Linked DNA regions of Oryzias latipes. The protein of the gene in region 2 binds, or shares a complex with, the protein of the main gene of each other region. Links are inferred from orthologs where the notes say so. Each region holds a gene or a part of one and is shown on either strand. Other genes may lie near its edges. The genes, in order: timm9, timm10 and timm29.

The links.
Region 1: the proteins of timm10 (region 2) and timm9 are in contact, whole or in part, in a crystal structure (PDB 2BSK), measured with the Homo sapiens proteins. The link is inferred for Oryzias latipes from reciprocal best matches to the Homo sapiens genes TIMM10 and TIMM9. Residues at the interface, in NP_036588.1 of Homo sapiens: Glu16, Met17, Asp20, Met21, Arg24, Ala28, Cys29, Lys32, Cys50, Arg53, Cys54, Ser56, Lys57, Tyr58, Asp60, Ile61, His62, Arg64, Met65, Gly66, Lys68, Leu69, Leu72; in NP_001291414.1 of Homo sapiens: Lys15, Leu18, Gly19, Tyr21, Asn22, Lys23, Thr25, Glu26, Cys28, Phe29, Leu30, Val33, Asp35, Phe36, Thr37, Thr38, Arg39, Glu40, Val41, Glu45, Thr46, Glu50, Leu53, Leu57.
Region 3: the proteins of timm10 (region 2) and timm29 are in contact, whole or in part, in a cryo-EM structure (PDB 7CGP), measured with the Homo sapiens proteins. The link is inferred for Oryzias latipes from reciprocal best matches to the Homo sapiens genes TIMM10 and TIMM29. Residues at the interface, in NP_036588.1 of Homo sapiens: His30, Arg31, Lys32, Cys33, Pro35, Pro36, Leu43, Ser44, Lys45, Gly46, Glu47, Ser48, Val49, Arg53; in NP_612367.1 of Homo sapiens: Asp181, Asp183, Ile184, Asp186, Phe189, Leu192, Leu196, Arg197, Val199, Gln203, Leu204, Ser206, Asn209, Glu210, Leu212, Phe213, Asp214.

Annotation. Positions count from the first base shown.
Region 1 is NC_019880.2:2,465,307-2,467,880, reverse strand, and holds part of timm9 (mitochondrial import inner membrane translocase subunit Tim9), read right to left. Parts: intron 2,169-2,574; coding exon 2,120-2,168; intron 1,214-2,119; coding exon 1,118-1,213; intron 1-1,117. UniProt on the Homo sapiens protein: Mitochondrial intermembrane chaperone that participates in the import and insertion of multi-pass transmembrane proteins into the mitochondrial inner membrane.
Region 2 is NC_019859.2:27,362,261-27,366,017, forward strand, and holds the start of timm10 (mitochondrial import inner membrane translocase subunit Tim10), read right to left. Parts: upstream 2,686-3,757; 5' UTR 2,568-2,685; coding exon 2,497-2,567; intron 1-2,496.
Region 3 is NC_019866.2:25,850,468-25,854,224, reverse strand, and holds the start of timm29 (mitochondrial import inner membrane translocase subunit Tim29), read right to left. Parts: upstream 2,726-3,757; 5' UTR 2,641-2,725; intron 1-2,640. Other genes in the region: protein YIPF1, read left to right, coding at 2,864-2,894, 3,150-3,295, 3,361-3,441, 3,513-3,600. UniProt on the Homo sapiens protein: Component of the TIM22 complex, a complex that mediates the import and insertion of multi-pass transmembrane proteins into the mitochondrial inner membrane.

The DNA.
Region 1 (2,574 bases), on a different chromosome or scaffold from region 2:
CGCGTTTCTGCGTGAGCCAGCAGAACGTGGAATCGCACATAAACAACAAATGTGACGCAGAAACGGAGGGATTTGGACGAATTAGATGATTTAGAAAAATAGTTTAATGTGGATCTTGAAATGGATGATCCCTCTAATCGGGTTGAAGAGGACACACCTGATGAGATGACAGAGGCGGAGCCTCCAGCCTCATTTAAGATCATTACAGGTAGTGTAGAAATATGACTCTACTAACTTTTATACAGTAAAAAAAATAAATTGTTTCAATTTGGTTTGTGGCTGTATTTACACCACAGTAACTTGGAGTTAATTATTTCAAAGTGGAGCAGGTGTGTCTGTGAGTTGAAAATCCTTATTTTCTACACGTATAGCATGAGTGTTGTTTTTACACTAAACCTCATGTAGACATTCAGTTGTTTCTGTAAAGGATAAAGTAGAGTTAAGAATAAATTATTACATTAAGATCTCCTGTAGTGAAGAGAGAACGGACAGCAAAGTGCAGCTTAAGAAACCCAAGACGGCCTTTTTGCCGTAAAAAATGACCACATTTACGGCTCTGAATTGTGTTTTTTTGGGGGTATATTTTCAGGTTCATTGTAAAAAATAATGAAAAAATATCTGTTAAAAAATGTATATATATATATATATATATATAAAATAAGAGTCTGGGGTTGTGCTAAAAAGGAATAACAAGCATTGCTGCAAAAAGCTGCCGTAAAGATCAATTATAAGAGCTTATTGTAAAAAAGTAAAAGATCCCCTGGACTACGGAGCCCCTAAAGGGACATTGAAGAAGAAGAAATTAACAGTTAGTTTATGTTTTTTAAATCAGTTGTTTTTTGTCCTTCAATGTCCCTTTAAGGCTCCGTACTGAACTACAAAGGGCAGTTAGTTTAATCCGTCAGTAAAGAGTTTCAGCTATATTGCCGATTCAAATGGACTCATTGTTGCCTTTCATGAGAGTATAAACTCACGTTTCTCTACAAACAAACGAAGCCCTGCATTTTTTTTCTCTGATATATCAAACGCGAGGCGATTCTGAAGTCGGGGCGGCTTGTATCAACGACAGGCGTGTGTGGTTTCATTAGGAAAAGGCAGACAGAAGCGGGGACTTCACCTCCTCTGGTTTGACGTCTCTGGTGGTGAAATCTTTGACGCAGTCCATGAAGCAGTTCTCCGTCACCTTGTTGTAGGTTCCCAGAAACTCCTTGAACTGAAAGACAAAACCAGACAAGTCAGAAACAACAAATGGGGAGACAAGAGACCCCCCGCTTCTCTTTGGCCACAGCTCCTCTGTGGAGGCTGCGTTTTTAGAAGAAGTTATGGATCTAATGTATGGTTTTAGAAAATAAAAGCACCATAACAGCTGACTGAGATCTGGGAGAGGTATAAACAAGTATTCTAGACTTAAAGGCATCGTGGGCGACGTGGCTTTGTTGCAGGAAAAACGTCTGAGGCTCGACGCGCTCGGCAACCTGCGTACGTACTAAACGCGCGGCCCTAGAAGACACGTTGCCAGTTAAACCAGGTCCTACTTTGACCAATCAGGGATTTGGTATCGACGCTTGGATGGAGCCCTTTTTAGCTCATAGAAGTACAAACCGTTTGAACGTTGATCATGAGAGAGAAATGAATAATTGCGGTTTGATCCCAGCTGGAATTCTACAACGCCAAGTCTTTAAAATATCGGAATGTTGTGAAAGAAAAAAACGTGGAGCGAGATTCACGGGATTTACACCGCTTTGACATTTCACGCCATGCCGCTAGTAAACATGGGGGGTGGACAGTAAACTGTGGAAAAACAAGTAGCCCCTCCCTGCTTGTCCAGTGTGAACACCGTGGGCTAAATGCACAAAGGTTGACGCGTTCTTGAACGTGCGTCACATGACGCTCCAGCCTTCACCTTTAGCTGCAGTCCCACTTTCTCTATTATCTGCTTTATTTACACGTCCTTAACCTTCAGCGGAGAACAGGTCGTTACTCCTCTCCGCCTCAGTGACCACATCCTGGCGGAAATGAACGCTGAAGCGTGACCGACTTCGCTTTAAGCGGGATGCCGGGAAAGCTGCAGGAACTTTCTCATCTCTGCACTCTTGAGGTTTTGAAATAAAAGGCCCACCTGCTTGATCTGATCGGACTCAGACACCTGCATCGCCATGGTCGCCGCTCTGCAAAGGGAGACACACAAACAAACAGAATCAACAAACTCTCCAGATGCAGAGAGGCAGTGAAAAGGTGGGACACAGAGCAGAAATGGGGGTCAACAGGGAAAAAAATACCACCTTAAACGCTAAGAAGGCGTGGAAGAAGAAGAAAAACTGCTTCACAGTCCAGAGCTTTTCTGGAGAATCATCAGACGTTCACGAACCAAGTCATGAGAGACGTTTACATCACTGACGTGTAACCGAGTAACCGAGTCTGTAATCGAGCTTGAAGTGGAGGTTGTTGTTGGTTTTCTCTTCTTCTAAATGTGTGGAAACTTTCACCTTCGTCCAGCATTTTTATGATAATAGTAACTGTAGAAAACAAACAACTTTAAACATGTACAGTTGTTCTAAAGTCAGAAGATCTTCT
Region 2 (3,757 bases):
TCAGCTGGCAGATGACACCACATTATTCTTGAAAAACTCCTCACAGGTTGCCAGGGTTCTTCAAGTTATAGATACATTTTCAAAAGCATCTGGACTTTATCTAAACCTAAAGAAATGTGAGTTATTTCCTCTCAATGTGCTCTAACATCCATAAATAGTATAGTAGTCAAAGAAAATGTCACATATTTGGGATTGCAGATAACTAAAGATCAAAAACAAAGAGAACTGAATAACTATATTCTATGATTGCAAAAGCACAAAATCAGTTTAACTGCTGGCTACAAAGAGATCTTTCACCAAAAGGTTGTGCTCTCTTAGCAAAAGCAGAAGGGATTTCCAGACTAGTTTACATTGCTTCCTCACCATCTCTGGACAGTAAAAATGCAAAAAGGATTGATCAGATACTTTTTAATTGTCTTTGGAGAAACAGAATCCACTATGTTCGAAAGTCAGTAGTAATTAATTCATCAAAAGACGGAGAACTTGAATTTCTTGACTTTTCCACTCTAAATAATGTCCTCAAAATTAAATAGTTAAAAAACTTCATTTTGGAATTTCATACCGAAATATATATTTGATAAGTTTGGAGGTCTGTCATTTCTTCTATTATGTTATTTCAAAATAGGGAAAATTCCTTTGAAGCTGTCTAATTTTCATAAGCAGGTTTTATTGGCATGGACTTTGATCTACAAACATAATGTTTCTCCTCATCGCTACTATATTTGGAATAATGCAGATATTCTATACAAAAACAAGAGGATTTTTCTTGAAAATTGGTTTGAAAAGAACATTTTTCTTGTAAATCCACCATGTAACCTGATGTCATCTGTTGAGTTTCTGTCCACCTATAGTCTGCATGTCTCCCCTGCAGAGCTTGCATTGGTTACTGGAGCCATCCCAGGTGCTGTTAGACTTCTGTGGAGCAGTTCTCCTTCAAATACTCCATGTTCTCCTCCCAAATGAACAGAATTGTGGTGTGGAAAGATTTGTTTTTCAGCTGGCAGGAATAATCAAAGTATCCGTTCTCTGTTTCAAAATGAGATTACAACAAAACCGTATGTTATCTCACACTGGAATAGGTTTGGCTGTAGAATTCAGGGGGAAAAGGTTTGGTCCCTGCCCCAAAAGTATGTCATCACCAAGAAAATCAGAGAAAATCAGAGAAATATCTTTCGAAATTCTTCATAAATCTTATCCAGTGAAACACTTCATTACCAAGTTTAAAAAAAAGAAATCTGAAAATAAATTGTTCATTTTGTCATTCCTCACCAGAAACTGTGTCTCATCTTTTTTGGGTTTGCTCCTTCACTCAAGTATTTTGGAAAGATTTGATAGATTTTAAAATCTATGTGAAGATTATAGATTATTTTATGATACCATATTATTTTTGGACATTTTACACATAGGGAAACTTGATGCAGAGAAAATATATGTAGTTAATTTACTTATAATTATGGCTAAATACTTTATACACAAGTGTAAATATGACAACAAAAAAAAACGGTATTTTATGTTTTCCAGAAAGAAATGGCACTGTGTGTAAACAGTATAACAAAAAAGCTGTCATTACAGTTGAAACATGGTCTCTTCTGAAAAAAACAGATTCCTTTGCCTTTATTATTTTTGCTTAACCTGTTTTACATCATCATTATTATCGTTTTTCAATTTTTTTGTTCATTTTCCTGGTGAATGTGAAAATGGTATTTTGCACACTGTGTGGTGGAGTTTTGTGTTTGGTATTTTGTATGTGCATTATTAGTTAATAAAGTTAAAATATAAATAAGTGGGTTAAAGAAAGTGAAATGCATCTGCTGGGAATGAATGAGGAGCCTCCTCTGCTCCCAGGAGGTCCAGCTGCAAACATCAGTAGACACAGAACAACAGCGCTGCCTTTGCTTTGGTCAGCACTAAATTACCGGCATGTTTTCAGGTCAGAGGAAGTCACGCAGGTCCCTTAGGGTGACATTAATGGAAAAAAGCAGCCATTAGAAGCCCTGGGCATGACATAAACAAGAAATACATTTATAAATCTGTATAGATTCGATTGTGGCCAACATTTTAGTAGCATTTTGTGTGCAAAAACAAATATTATGTGCACACTGCTTTTTTGTGTTGTGTGCACAGCTTATATAATAAAAACTTTAATTCCTATAATGTGAGGCTACAACATGTCAATATGTATGCACAAAATGCGAATGTGAGAATACAGAATACTAACTCCTGGCCACAGACGATCAGAATGAGGTGACTTAAAAAAAGATATTCAGGGTTCCGTATGGCTGTAGATTATGGCGAAGCTGTGCTGAAAAAATCCCATTCATTGTTGTGTCCGTCTCATGATGTCAAGCAAAGGCCTAAATGGATCAGGCTGTTTGTCTCTGGCGCTGAAGACCCTCTTTAACACGGCCATGGATGGTGGTCGGGAATGGATGATGGTGCTGCAGAGTGTGTGTCCGCATGCATGTCATATGACGGTACACAGAGATGAAGACCTACCGGTTGTACATGTCCGCCATCATCTCCACCTCCAGCTCCGCCGCCAGCTGCTGCGCTTTCACAGGATCCATTCTCGCCCTCCGTGTCGTTTCACAACCGAGCCCAGCGCCGGTGACCCTCTCCAGCTGGATAACAGCAAGCCGCGATGCTACTGTCACCTTCAAATCCTAACACACGTGTGATGTCGCGTCTGACTTCCGGTATAAATAAAGTTTACTTTAAAAAGGTCGAGTCTAAATCAGCGCGCCCCCCTGTGGATCATATCTGTACTACAGAGCTTTGACCGGACATGAGAACTGGACTTAGGAGCAAAGTCAACTTTTAGGATTCAAATTAATTCCCTTTTCATTTTTACATGGACAACATCCTGTTTAGTTTTGCTGATTATGAAAATAAGCTAAATTCCAAATTCTACTTGATACATTTCCTGATGCTATTAGCAAATGTTCAAACAAAAGTACAGGTGGAGAGGATGTCATTTTTTCAAGCCCCTGAACCGTGTGCATGGGGCCTGCTAGTGCTGTTCAGGTGATAAATGTGCTCCAGGCATGAAGCCTGTTAGAAATGAGGAAATGATACAGCTTAGTTTGTGTTGACGTCCTACGAAGAACTGATGCTTTTCGTACATCTCCCGTGTGTGCAGCACTTCTGTGCAGTCAGTAAGGAGCCGGTGCGTGCACCTCAGACTAGAGAGCGACATTAAGGCACAGCATGAGACCATAACTGCACTTTACTTGCATTATTCTTACAAATAACTTACCATTTCCCCACACACAACAATGGTACCTTCCATTTTCATAATCATAACATCCCTTTAGGTGCCTGTAGGAGCCTCAAGTGAATTGCAAGACAAACCTGAGCTCCCTGTAAGATGTGGCTGCTCCTCTCTCTGCCCCCCCATGGGCACCGACAACCCTAACACTTGCAGCACCCCATCGGGTGAGCCCCCGCACGGGTGCATGTGACTGCAGCATTAACAAAGGGCAAAGGCAGGGAACACCCGGGACAGCACACCAGTCCACTGAAGAACACAACCACACAGACAAACATACACTCGCACTCAAAGGACAATCCAAGAAAGCAATCCTGAAGCTTTTGGACTGTGAGAGGAAGTCAGAGAAGACCAGAGAAGACCCACGCATGAACCAAGAGGACACACAATCTCCACTCAGAAAGAAACCAGCCAGAATTCAAACCAGGACCAACCTCCACAACTTCTGTGCTAGAAAAAAAAGCACAACCATGAAAACTGACTTTTTCT
Region 3 (3,757 bases), on a different chromosome or scaffold from region 2:
GCCAGGGACAGTAATAGACTGAACAAACTGATCAGAAGAGCTGGCTCCATAATAGGATGGAGGTGTTTGAAGCTGTGATGGAGAGGAGGACTTTAAATAAGCTGGTATCCATCCTGAGCATCCTCTCCATCCTGTTCTTGACGGTCAGTGGAGAACCTTCTCCAACAGGCTAAGGCAGCTTCACTGTCACACCAACCGCTACAGGAGATCTTTCCTACCTCACTCCATTGGACTCTAGAACTCGTCATCCATGTGCAATACATAAAGTCATTTATGGTCTGTCTTTCTCTCCTGATGTGGCACACAATACAACTGTTCTTTTTCACTGATGTTTCTTTCTGATTGATTGTTCTGGTTCTCTGTCGTCTATTGTGTGTTTGTTTGTATCTTGAGCCTAAAGCCGACGCTGCAACAACTGAATTTCCCAAGCTGGGATCAATAAAGTATCTTTATCTTATCTTATCTTATGTTAATAATATTACAAAATTTATCACCAAATCCTAAAAATGTCAGGGCTTTAATTAAAAAGGAATGCTCCAATGTGTCAAATGCTTTATAGAAATCTAGAAATAATATCAAACTATCTGGGTCAACAAAGTCACAATAATCCAACAAATCTACCACCAACCTGATGTGATTATGAATATTTCTTCCTTTAATAAATGCTGACTGACACTCATCCACTACATCCTTCAGTCCTCGTTTAGACGCTCTGCAAAAACATGAGCTAAAATTTTATAGTCATTGCATAACAAAGTCATTGGTCTCCAATTATCCAAATATAATGTGTTTTTATTAGGTTTGGGGATTAAAGTGATGAACCCGTCTCATTGTGTTAGTAATGAACACTTACGATAAGGGTGGTCTTAACTTTTCTAGACTTTTGTACATTAAATAATACCTTTAAAATAAATTGGCTAAGACATTTTATTTAGAATCCAACTTCAATCTGGAATTTCATACCAAATTACATTTTCTCCAAATTAGGAGGCATAAACTTTCTTTTATTCTGTAACTATAATGTACCAAAGATCCCACTTAAGCTTTCTTGCTTCCATAAACAAATGTTACTTTCCTGGTCCCTCATCTACAAACACAATTTCTCTCCTCACAGATACTACATATGGAACAATAAAGACATTACTTATAGACATAAATCTTTATTTTATCCATCATGGTTTAATCCAAACATCCTTTTGGTTCATCAGCTGTTTAATTCAAACGGAGCTTTAATGTCACATGAAGAATTCTGCTTCAAATATTCCATCAAAATACCAAAATCTGAATTTAACTTTGTTTTGAAAGCAATTCCTAAATGTATTATTACATTATTCCAAAGCTCATCATTGCAAAGTCCAACTTTATTACCAATTGATCCGACTAAAATAGAAATAGGACGAATTTGTTTTTCTTCTTCACGTACCACAAATCGCCGTAAACGCTCACTCTCCCAGAAGGATGTTGTCTCCACGTAGTTTCTTTTTGGAATAATTTAGTTTATCATTTAGAATGGAAAAAGATTTGGAATTTACCAGCAAAATACTTTTTAACCAATAAAGTGAAAGAAATCTCATTTAAACTAATTCATAAATTCTATCCAACCAAACTATATCTGCAAAGGTTCAAGGAAGATATTGATGTTTGCTGCTCTTTTTGCCAAGAACAGCCTGAAGATGCTGTACATTTATTTTGGTCATGTCCCTTTTCCACCACTCTCTGGTCTAAAGTTTGTCATTTCATTTCCGCCCACATTGACTCTGACTTTCGCCTGTACTTAAAACATGTTATGTTTGGCATCACCCACTGTCCATCTCATAAAAAAGAACAGTTGTTCTTCATTAACCTTTTGTTGTTTTATGGAAATGGCACATTCATAAATCAAAAGTTACGAATCATACTCCTCATTTCTCAATCTTTATCAAGGAGTTCAAACAATACATTAAGACAATAAGAGACTCTGATAATAAGAAAGCCATCAAAACATCCGATCTGTTATATTGACATTATGGAAGTCTGACACTGTGCCTCTATTTAAGATGTGGCTTTCTGAACTCACCAGTGTTCTGCACATGGAAAGGATTCGAACTGTTCTGGAAAATAAGCTAAATGTATTTTTTGATGTGTGGCAGCCTTTTTTGGATCATTTAACCAAGTATAAAAAAGATACAACCCGCCCACAACAGAGTTAATTGTGCCACTTTTTATTTTTTTATTTTTCTTTATTACTTGGAAAGGATTTTTTCAAATTGCAGTGTAATGTTAAGTTTCCTTTATAGACTCTCATTTCTAGCCCTGGTTTCTGTGTGTCTGTTTTTTTTTTTTGTTTTGTTTTGTTTTTTTCTTCTTTTTTGATTGTTTTCTTCCTGTTTGTTTTTTCATCTCAGTGGTTGTTCAAATGTATGTTGTTTTATGCCAAAATCTTTAATAAACATATGTTTAAAAAAAAACATTCGATCTGTGTGTCAGTTTCAATATATCTGCGTAAAATGTATTAACCCCCTGGCTTGTTCCTTCGTTGTTGTTGTTCACTGTTTAACATTGTTTTGTATTGACTTTTTACATTCAATAAAGTTTGAATTTAAAAAAAACTGGGCAAATTCCTGGACTGCAGTGCGCATGCTCCTGAAACAGGACGCTCACCGGACGCGGATGTGAGCACGTGACTCGTTGTTGACGCGATGACGTGTACGCATGCGCATCCGGCCCATTCTTGCTGCATATTCTGAGCTGATCTATTATAAAAACTGCCCTCACGTGCGCCTGTCGTCACTGATCAAACGGGGCCTCGCGGCTGCTCCTCTTCTCGAACGGCGCGCGGCGGAGCTGGGACTGATTTACGGCGTTTCCCGGTGGATCCGGAACCATGACGAGTCCGAACGACCTGAAATTCGAGGGTATGGCTTGCTTCTGCTGTTACCTAGGCAACTGGGTTATTAGGGGCTCCCGCTGCGCGTGCGCATGTCACCTCAAAAGTTTTGAACTGTACGGTAGAAACATCAAAGCTTCTGAATTGTTGTAAAGAATTGAGTGAAGGTTCTGCTAAGCCTGAGGACCCCAGAAGACCCCATCATCTGCAGCCCCACCTGCCCCTCCCACCTCACCTGTCCCCCCCGCCCCCCCCCCCCCCCAACCTGCTGGTTTGTCTGCAGAACTGGAGGAGGCGGCGCAGCTGCTGTCAGCCGACCCAACTGCCTCCACCCTCAGCATGTCCGTGCCCCCCACCACCCCTGCTGGGGGGGGGGACGTGAAGCTGGATCTGTCGGAGGATGAGCAGGCTCAGGAGGAGAGCGCGGAGGTGAGCTTCCTGTGCAGGAGGAGGAGCTTGGGGAGGCGGCGGCTGACTTACCTGTGTTCTGTCAGCTCCTAGGAGGGCAGAAGCAGGGCGGGGGCTTCTGGACCTTCGAGTACTATCAGTCCTTCTTCAACGTGGACACCATGCAGGTAAGAGGCGGAGTCTGCACACCTGTAGAGTGTGGGCGTGTGCCAGGAGGTCACCCGGTGCTGTGATGTAGGTTCTAGAGCGGGTGAGGGGCGCCGTTATGCCCGTACCTGGAAGAAGTTTCCTCAAACACCACGTCAGGACCGGCCCGGACCTGTACGGTGAGTTACCTGCTCCACAGGTGAATGGGACGTTCCAGCTCCGCTTCTGTCAGTCTGGGTCAGCCCAAGGGATCAGGGGGGCAGAGGGGGAGCAGGTGTGTTGATGTGTCCTTGAGCAAAGCAGCAGAACCCCACACTGGTGCTGGTCTGCTTCCAC